Drosophila melanogaster: one gene and its partner. Each later gene encodes a partner of the first gene's protein in a complex. Each region holds a gene or a part of one and is shown on either strand. Other genes may lie near its edges. The genes, in order: pont and pho.

What was found.
Region 2: pont (region 1) and pho share a complex: the UniProt entries of both Drosophila melanogaster proteins name them as parts of the chromatin remodeling Ino80 complex.

What each region holds. Positions count from the first base shown.
Region 1 is NT_033777.3:10,260,129-10,264,574, forward strand, and holds pont (pontin), read left to right. Parts: upstream 1-1,994; 5' UTR 1,995-2,214; coding exon 2,215-3,031; intron 3,032-3,088; coding exon 3,089-3,287; intron 3,288-3,348; coding exon 3,349-3,703; 3' UTR 3,704-3,771; downstream 3,772-4,446. UniProt on the Drosophila melanogaster protein: Acts as a transcriptional coactivator in Wg signaling caused by altered arm signaling. Pont and rept interfere antagonistically with nuclear arm signaling function, and are required to enhance or reduce arm activity, respectively.
Region 2 is NC_004353.4:1,178,495-1,183,639, reverse strand, and holds the start of pho (pleiohomeotic), read left to right. Parts: upstream 1-2,011; 5' UTR 2,012-2,050; exon of another isoform or gene 2,051-2,272; intron 2,273-2,358; 5' UTR 2,359-2,501; coding exon 2,502-2,592; intron 2,593-5,145. UniProt on the Drosophila melanogaster protein: Polycomb group (PcG) protein that binds to the 5'-CNGCCATNNNNG-3' sequence found in the regulatory regions of many genes.

The DNA of each region.
Region 1 (4,446 bases):
AAGGAAATGAATTAGCCGATCAAGCTGCAAAATCAGCAAGCAGTATGCCACTTATCCTCACCCCAAACATAAATACCACAGATATAAAAAAACACCTTAAAGCCGACCTTGCGACAAAACAGAAAGAACACATAATAAACTGCAGTCCATGGTACCAATCTATTAACACGAACACCTCACACCCATGCGATTACCTTAAACAATCCCACCCAAATTGGACCAGACTCGACCAAATAAAAATAATACGACTTCGACTAGGACACACAAACATAACCCACCAACACTACCTAAATCCCAATTCAATACCAACTTGCCCGTTTTGCCAAGGTGATATTTCTTTAAACCACATATTTAACTCATGCCCATCCCTCCTACAAACCAAACAAGATATATTTAACAACACCAACCCTCTAGACCTTCTTAGCAAACCCAATCCAGATAACATACAAAAACTCATACTTTTCCTCAAAAAAACTAAATTATACCACAAAATCTAAAAACAAAACAGGCATTTGTACATAACAAGCCAGCAATTAGTTACCAAATTAGATATTAACTAAATTAAGATATAATAACATTGTAAATAAATATAGCTGTAAGCCCCGTAGCTAATGCTATACTATCTAAGTTAGTCTAGTTTTGTAAACTATTCTATCTATCATAATAAATAATAAATAAAATAAACATACTTTTTATATTGTCTGTGAAAGGTATTTACATTGCTTGTGGGTATTGTCCACTCCATTGGCTTGGACTGCTTTGTAGGATCGGAAGCCTCCGAATATTCGGGTATCTCAACACCCAATAGTTTACAAACTTTGGACAAAACCACATCCACATAACTGGATATGATTAAGTTAGCCTTTTTGTCATGTTTTGTGGGCTGCAGATTACAAATGACAAATTTTCCACCGCATTTTAGATTCTTTAAAGGAAGGTCTCCGCTGGGAACGATCTGCAAAGTGGTTCCAAGCGCAATATTTAGGTCAGCGACGGTGGAGTGCATCACACCCATTTCGAGGTCGTTTTCGGGAAGATCGTGCTCCCAGTCCAGAACGTTATCGTATAGGATTCCCGATCTACAGCTACGACCTTTGCTATCCATTGAAGACTTGCAGGCACGTTGCAGGGATTTTTGACCCACTGTTTCCACGGCAGATGGGCTCACAAATTGCCGTCTGCATTTCTTACACTGTTCGATGTAAATGTTGCCGTGCAATTCGGAAAGATACTTCCGATCCAGTCCGGATTTCAAGTGGAGACCATCAATATTCTGTGAGATTACGTACTGCACATAGCCACTTTCAATCAGGGCTATGATAGCCATGTGGGTTTTAGTTGGTCTGGCTTCATCGAAGGAAACATTGAAGTCCGGCTTCTCGCCCTTCTCCTCCAGGGTCCAAACGCCCTTGGGTCCGCGGAAATCCGGAATTCCTGCAGACGTACTGATCCCAGCTCCCGTGTGGAGGACAACGTGTCCCGATTTCTTGATCAATTCAGCCAATTCCTGGCACTTTTCGGCCACAACCTCATCGCTGTCGAAACTCTCTGGTGCTCCCAAAATTCCCTTGTTGTCGTAGGCTGACAATCCATCCGCGTAGTTGCAGCTCATGGTTTGATAAAAGTTTGATCTACTTCAAAAGCGACTATTATGTCTTTTTGGTATTAATTTGTTTATATTTTGTACGGCTAAATGAGTCCATCGAGATTTTATTGTTTATAATATGACCGTATCCGTAACGCTACAAAATACTTTAAAACGTGCCAAGTGAAATTACACTGGTCATTAAAAAAAAGTATAAGGTGTAATATAATTTGCAGCTTGGTAAAAACTAAATAAATCTCAAATATCTTAGCTTACCTTGATTAAATATAAATGTAAAGTATTAACTCAAAATATTTGTTATTATATTTAAAACATTTATTATAAATTATTTTATTTTCTACCATGTGGTTCAGTGTACCAAGCAACATGCTTGGATTTCCAACTCGCACGGTCACACTGTAAACAACGGCTGCGGAAACAAAGTGTGCTTCTAATTTCCAATCAAAACGCCGGCAGAAAAACAAATTTTATCCACGGCAACGAAACAATAGTTTGTTTGATCGTTGCAACGCTTGACTTCACATTTCCTCTCCCTCGGGCGAAAAACAGCTGAAACCGGAAACGGATCAGAGTATTAGCATCAGGCAGGACACGGATTTAGAGGCGCCATGAAGATCGAGGAAGTCAAGAGCACCGTGCGCACCCAACGCATCGCAGCCCACAGCCATGTGAAGGGATTGGGCCTGGACGAGGTTGGAGCTGCCGTGCACAGTGCAGCCGGACTGGTGGGTCAGAAGGCGGCACGCGAGGCAGCCGGCATTGTGGTGGACCTCATCAAATCGAAAAAGATGGCCGGACGAGCGCTTCTGCTGGCTGGGCCACCAGGCACGGGCAAAACCGCCATTGCTCTGGCCATTGCCCAGGAGCTGGGTAACAAAGTGCCCTTCTGTCCCATGGTCGGATCGGAGGTATTCAGCAATGAGATCAAGAAGACCGAGGTGCTAATGGAGAATTTCCGGCGCTCCATTGGTCTGCGCATTCGTGAGACCAAAGAGGTGTACGAGGGCGAGGTTACGGAACTCACGCCCGTGGAAACCGAGAATCCTATGGGTGGCTATGGCAAGACTATCAGCAATGTCGTCATCGGCTTGAAAACAGCCAAGGGAACCAAGCAGCTCAAGCTGGATCCCAGCATCTTTGATGCCTTGCAAAAGGAAAAGGTGGAGGTGGGCGATGTCATCTACATAGAGGCCAACAGTGGTGCCGTAAAGCGTCAGGGTCGCAGTGACACCTTTGCCACTGAGTTTGATCTCGAAACCGAGGAGTATGTGCCGCTGCCCAAGGGCGATGTCCACAAGAAGAAGGAGGTTATCCAGGATGTTACTCTGCACGATCTGGATGTGGCCAATGCTCGTCCACAGGGCGGCCAGGATGTGCTCTCCATGATGGGCCAGCTTATGAAGCCGAAGAAAACTGAAATCACTGGTTAGTTGTGTAATTTTCTTCCCATTCAAATTTACTAAAATACCATTTGATGAGCAGACAAACTACGCATGGAGATCAACAAGGTGGTAAACAAGTACATTGACCAGGGCATAGCCGAGCTGGTTCCCGGAGTTCTCTTCATCGATGAAATTCACATGCTTGATTTGGAGACCTTCACCTACCTACACAAGTCCCTGGAATCTCCCATTGCACCAATTGTGATTTTTGCCACCAATCGTGGACGCTGTGTTATTCGGTTAGAAATACTTAGCTCGTAAAACCTATTCGCATTATTAATAAGAGTTACCTCTTTCCAGTGGCACCACCGACATAGTTTCGCCGCACGGAATTCCGCTAGATCTGCTCGATCGTTTGCTGATCATCCGCACACTACTCTACTCCACTGCCGACATGGAGCAGATAATCAAGTTGCGCGCCCAGACCGAGGGACTGCAGCTGGAGGAGAACGCATTTACACGTCTCAGCGAGATTGGAACCAGCTCCACGCTGCGCTACGCCGTCCAGCTGCTGACCCCGGCTCATCAGATGTGCAAGGTGAACGGACGCAACCAGATCAGCAAGGATGATATCGAGGATGTGCACTCGCTCTTCCTTGACGCCAAGCGCTCCTCGAAGCATTTGTCCGAAAAGAACAATAAGTTTATGTTGTAAGTTTGACGATTCAAGCTGAATTGTAATTCCATTTGCACGGATTTCCCAGTAAAAATCAAATAATAAGCAATTTAATTTATTGTAATGATGTGGTAATTTGAAAACATTCAAATGATCATTTCAATGGCGCTTCAAACATCGACAAGAAAAGTGTGTACACACTTCAACTGAAAGTAAATCGGAAATTTTTGGTTGGTGTCTTAGCTAGATTAGGGCGAATCGTGAATTTCTTTCAACGGTTTTTTTAATTGATACGTAGATAAGCATATTTAAACGAACTCGGAGGACTAACCATTTTCTTTTTATAATTCGGTTGTTTGATTGTAATTATTTTGTCTTTCGTTTTCCGCTTAATCTTCCATATTTGCTGCTTGTGATCGCAGCGATATGGCAACTTCCACTCGCGCCACCCTCATTTTCCCACCATGCGACATCAGCTGCTCGCGTTGTTTGGCCAAGAATTCCAATTGGTGGTGAGTTCAGTTACTCAACGAGCGTCGAGCTGCGCACTGCCCCAAAATAAATAGCCAGGGAGCTCCGCTGAAGTGCATGCAGTGAATAGTATATTTAACGATTCGATTCGCGGCGTGGGCGTCTTCTTCTTTTTCGGCCCGTTCCCCTCGCGTCTTGCATCTTGCCTCTCGCTCGCTCCAACAACGCCGGCAACTGCACTTGGCGTGCGTGTGTGTGTGTAAGTGTGAGTGCGTTTGTGGTTTTCCGAAAGAATGTGAAATCATAATAAA
Region 2 (5,145 bases), on another chromosome or scaffold:
CAAAAAAAAAAGATCAATATCCCAAGCGGGCAATCTCGCACCGGAAATAATATAAACAAATGGGCAATATGTGACATATTCACATAATCAGCACTTTCAGAAGAAATACAGAGTGGCGATTCCACGCCATGTACGCTAGCTGTATACAATAAATATCTTAAGCGGGCGATCCCGCTCCAGAAATAATGTAAACATAGGCAGTATAAGAAAGATTTTTGTCACTAACATATAGTCTTAAGCTGAGATCAAAAGAATAAAGACGTGAAAACCATCTCTATGATAATTTTTTATTTCTTAGCGTTGACCTTAGTCAACTGAAATTAGTTAGACTCAAATATATAACAATTATTTTACTGTATGCATGTATGCATATAGTAATGCATATTAGTTTACTTTTCCATGAAAATGCATTAATTATATATGTAATTGTATTTGTTGTATAGAAGCAATTACTGGACCACCGGCGGATGAAAAGGTGGACGACAATACGCAGCCTCTTTATTGAAGCAATATTAAAAAAGAAAATAATAAATTTAATAGATGAATTCTTTTTTGTTTTTATTTAAAACGTCGATGTTTTTTCAACATATTTCGCCAAAAACATCGATGTCCGCCATCATCGATATTTCTCAATCTCTATTAACAGAGTCAAATCAAAGACATTAGAATAACATGATTGGTAACGACCATACGTTGGTTTAGCACAATGCAGTCACTTTTTTGGTGACGGTCAATATTGACATTCTCTGGTAATCGAATTCGTAAGAATTTTACTTTTGTCTGGGCGAAATTAAAAGTAAATGCCTGTTATACATACATATATCTATCAAATCAGATCTTATTAACTAAGGAAAAAATATTTTATTCAGTGGTCTATCGATGTTAATTCCAAATCACCACAAGATCATTCTGCCAATGCGTTATTATACAAAAAATGTATTTCCGACCCCACCTCAGATTTGACAAACAACATTTTGCCGTCAGCAACAAATATTTTCGATTTAGCAAGGGGATTAGCAAAGGAGAAGTACGTTCCCAATATTTATTGCGAAGGCTGCCATACTGTTGGTAAAACGAAACAGGCAGGTAAAAATACTTATAAAATATAAAAGAATTCATTAATGAATTTCAGGAATGGCCAAAAGAGTTGTATGTATTTAATTAAATGTATTTTTATTACTTAAATGTCAAAGTGCAATAACAAAGTAATTGCGAACGTCGGACTTAAAACTGTAAAAAAAGGTGTCCGCTCTATGGTCTGGAAAACAGCTTGAACAGCTGTTTAATGTTTACAAAACATTCCGATAGCAAAAATTTTGCGAAAACCAAAACAGCTAAAAACGAAATCAAAAGATTTTGCCCAAATCGAAATAAAAAATAAAAATTACAGGAGCATGATTGACTATAAATTATCGCTGTGCATGCTTGGCATCTCTTACATCAGCACAAAACACAAGGATTGGCAGAATTGGCGCTTTTTCAAATCTACAGCAGAACACAAGATCAGTAGAGATGTTGAACCATCGGTGCCTGATCCCACGCAGTAGAAACTTTCCCCTTTCGTTTAACAGTTGCCTCTTTTAAATCTGTTCCAGTCTCATGTTAAGCTTTGTTAACGATGGGAAATTGGTTATAGCATGATTGCACTCGTTTTCCGAAATGAGGATGATTCCATTTCCACATTTTCGAAATGTATTTGTGGACCGTATCATATGAACTTTATTTATCACTAAAACTAATAGAAAAATATACACATTCTTTGATAGGATTTTCTTTAAGCATATGAAAAATTTAATTCATATCGGTTTACAAATTTGTAGTATTATTTAATTTTATGTTTTGCATGTATATTTCAAGCTATACCGATATAATTACAGAGATTACAGCCAGCTTGTTCTATATTTAGAAGCTAGTCGACGTGGAATCAAGATATATTTTGCGTTGTAAAAAAATACTAAAGTTTAGTATGTTGCAAAAAACCCAAATATTTAGGCATCGAATACCCATGCCAAACAAGCAGAATAACCTTTTCAATATTTTGAGTCATTTGGTATCGCGTTTTATAAAAATTACTTGAATTCTTTTGTTTTCCTCGGCTTTTAGTGAAACAATTCGACTATCATTAAATTTATGTGGCGTTTAATTAATCTTTCGTATTATTTCAATCAGAATTTTTTTAACATATTCACTACATTTTCTTAGAGAACCGTTTGTCATATTTAATGTATATTATGTTCCCTACTTAAATATGACAATTATTAATTCTGTGTGTGTACGTATCAATCATCCGTGATATTATATTCATGTCTTATATTGCCTACATATGGAATAATGGCAGTAAAAATGCTGTTCTTTCAGATACATCAAATAGCCTCAGGGAATGCAACGCTCAGGAAACATACAAATCTTACCTAACACATGTGCCTACAATTATCCTGGCATTTGAAATGCTTTAATACTAACTTTAAACTCATGCGTATGTGGATTATAGTATTGTAAATATGGCATACGAACGTTTTGGAATTATTCTTCAAAGTGAACAGTACGATGAAGATATAGGCAACACAAAAGTCAATCAGAAAATGAATGAAGGTAAGTTCGGATTTTACAGGCATGTCTATGTTTTGAAAATCGAATTATAGCAACAAAGCACTTTTTTATAAAGCGTAACAACAAAATACTGTTTAATGAAGCATAAAATATAAACATATTTACTTGTTATACCCGTTAGTCCTAGAGTAAAAGGGTATACTAGATTCGTTGAAAAGTATGTAGAAGGAATCGACCACAGTATTCTTACTCATGATCACTAGCGCCAAGTCGATCTGCCCGTATAAACGTTGAGATCTCGGGAACTAAATAAAAGATGTGAAAGTTAAGATAAAGCATGCACATTCTAGAGAAAATTACCACTTCTACTCCAACGCCCACAAACCTTCAAAAACTGTCAAAACTAAAATTTTAATATTGTTTAAGCCGCCATACTAACATTTTTAAGCCAAGCCCAGATCGTTAATGTCAGCTTTTAAGCGCCTTGGCATCGAAGAAATGAAGTATCATCAGATTGTTCAGTAATATGTTAGGTTAAGGTTTTTCCAAAGGAGGCAAGACTCGGAAGACTATCACTCAAAACACAGTGTTGACGGGTGTGAGGCTAATCCTCATCTCTCGTGAGTTACCTGTAATGGCGGAGACGCCGGGTACCCATGTAAGCGTTAGTTTGGGTGTGCTGTAGACGTTCAAGTTCAATAATGGTGTTGCTCACAGGCACGCTCTTGCTAGTGTTCGCTTGAAATGTTAATATGCCGCATGACTGTCCACAATCAAAGCTGTTATTCTGATTCCCATCTGACTCACATCGTTCTTTAATTGCTAAACTGCAGAGTCCTTATACCCTTGTGAGCGTTAGTTTAGTGTGCCGTAGATCTCCCAGTTCCATGATGGTGTTGCGCACAAGACCCGTTACCTTTTCGCTTTTGGCTTAAAGATTTAAAGAATATTATATGGATATGTACGGATTTGCGGATATCCTAATGTGCTTTTGAAGACATAGAATTTTAATTTAAAGTATTTTTAATTAGCTGCGCAAATAATTTTGTATAGAGAATATAGTAGCTAATTTGGTTGAAAATTTATCACGCTATATAAGTATTCTTAAACTCGCAAAGTAAAAGGGGTTTCGAAAAACAATGGCAACCGAAGGAAGCGTTCCCGACCCTATAAAGTATATATATTTTTGATCCAGTGAACTACCCAAGTCGAACTGGATATGTCTGGCAGTATGAATGTCGAGATCTCAGGAACTAAATAAGCTAGAAAGTTGAGATTAAGCATGCAGATTTCAGAGACAAATCCGCTCAAGACTGCTATTTGATTATTTTTCTCCACTAGTTGCGTAATGGGTATCTGATAGTCGGAGAACTCGAACATTTTCTCTCCTTTGTTCATAGATTTAAATATCAACATGCTGTGCATGCTTGCTTACACTGATATAATCGCCTTTACCCGAAATTGTCTGCCTGTACTTGTTCAATATTTATAAAGTATTAATTACGTTATAAAGTATATACATTATATACACTTTTTGTCCGTTTCTAGGTAAACTAGTTTCCAAATTTGAAAGAATTATTTCTTTAGAGGATCAATATACAGCTGAATTCATTGAAATATTTTCCCTGATCCCTCCCTCTCTTTCGTGAGCGACTTTTATTTTACTTTTGTAGAATGGACATTTACTTTTTTATGGTGTTTATTAGAATAGAGTTGTCTGATGTTGTTTAACGAAATAAAAATTAAAAAGTGAATTTGATTAAGTTGATTTGCATATTTAAAAGGACAATGCAATAAATAAAATTTTAAAGAGCCCAGAAACGAGGAAATAAATAAAACAACAAAGTATAAGTGTAATATTAGTAAGATCTAATTATGTGTTAAAAAAGTTATAATTGATTGCTGTAAGAGCGGCAGAGAGTAAAGATTACAGATAATAGGATTACGTCTATTATAGTCAGAACATAACATGAACATACAGAATGATTTAAGATTAAGGGTATGTAGTTTCTAGTGAATATACTTGGAACAGAGAAGTTTCGCCGAAAAACCAGGTCGGGACTACTCGTATCGTACTACTCGTAAACTTACTAATAAAGACTGTTCCAAGCATCGTTCTACGGTTAGCTAGGGAGGGTAACTGAATTAGAATTAGTCTACTGGAATGAGGAATAGGACCCACAAGGCAAACATTAAGAATTTTTTTTGGACCCATTCAATGATGCCCAGTCTCTGCCTAGCCTTCGTTGCATACGGACGATCGCGATAGTCTAGTCTGTTTGTTGTAACACATCAACAACTCTTCCAATCGTACTGTGCACGCGCACAATTTCTATTTCTATCCAATGCACAGCAGTGGTGACAGACAATTACGTTACTTATCATAGATAAGCTCAACCAAGCCGACGCTTTGTAAGCCCCTCAATTGTTATCTCTCGAGCTTGCGAAGTTGACAACTAGTAGTAACACCAATGTTACCAACACCATAACCACCCAAGCTAGCTGTTCGCAGGCAAGAAGTGCTGCAATGTCTGAGATGCCATATTTTTGGGCGTTCCAAAAACTATTGTCTCCGGGGTTCAATCTGTGGCAAGC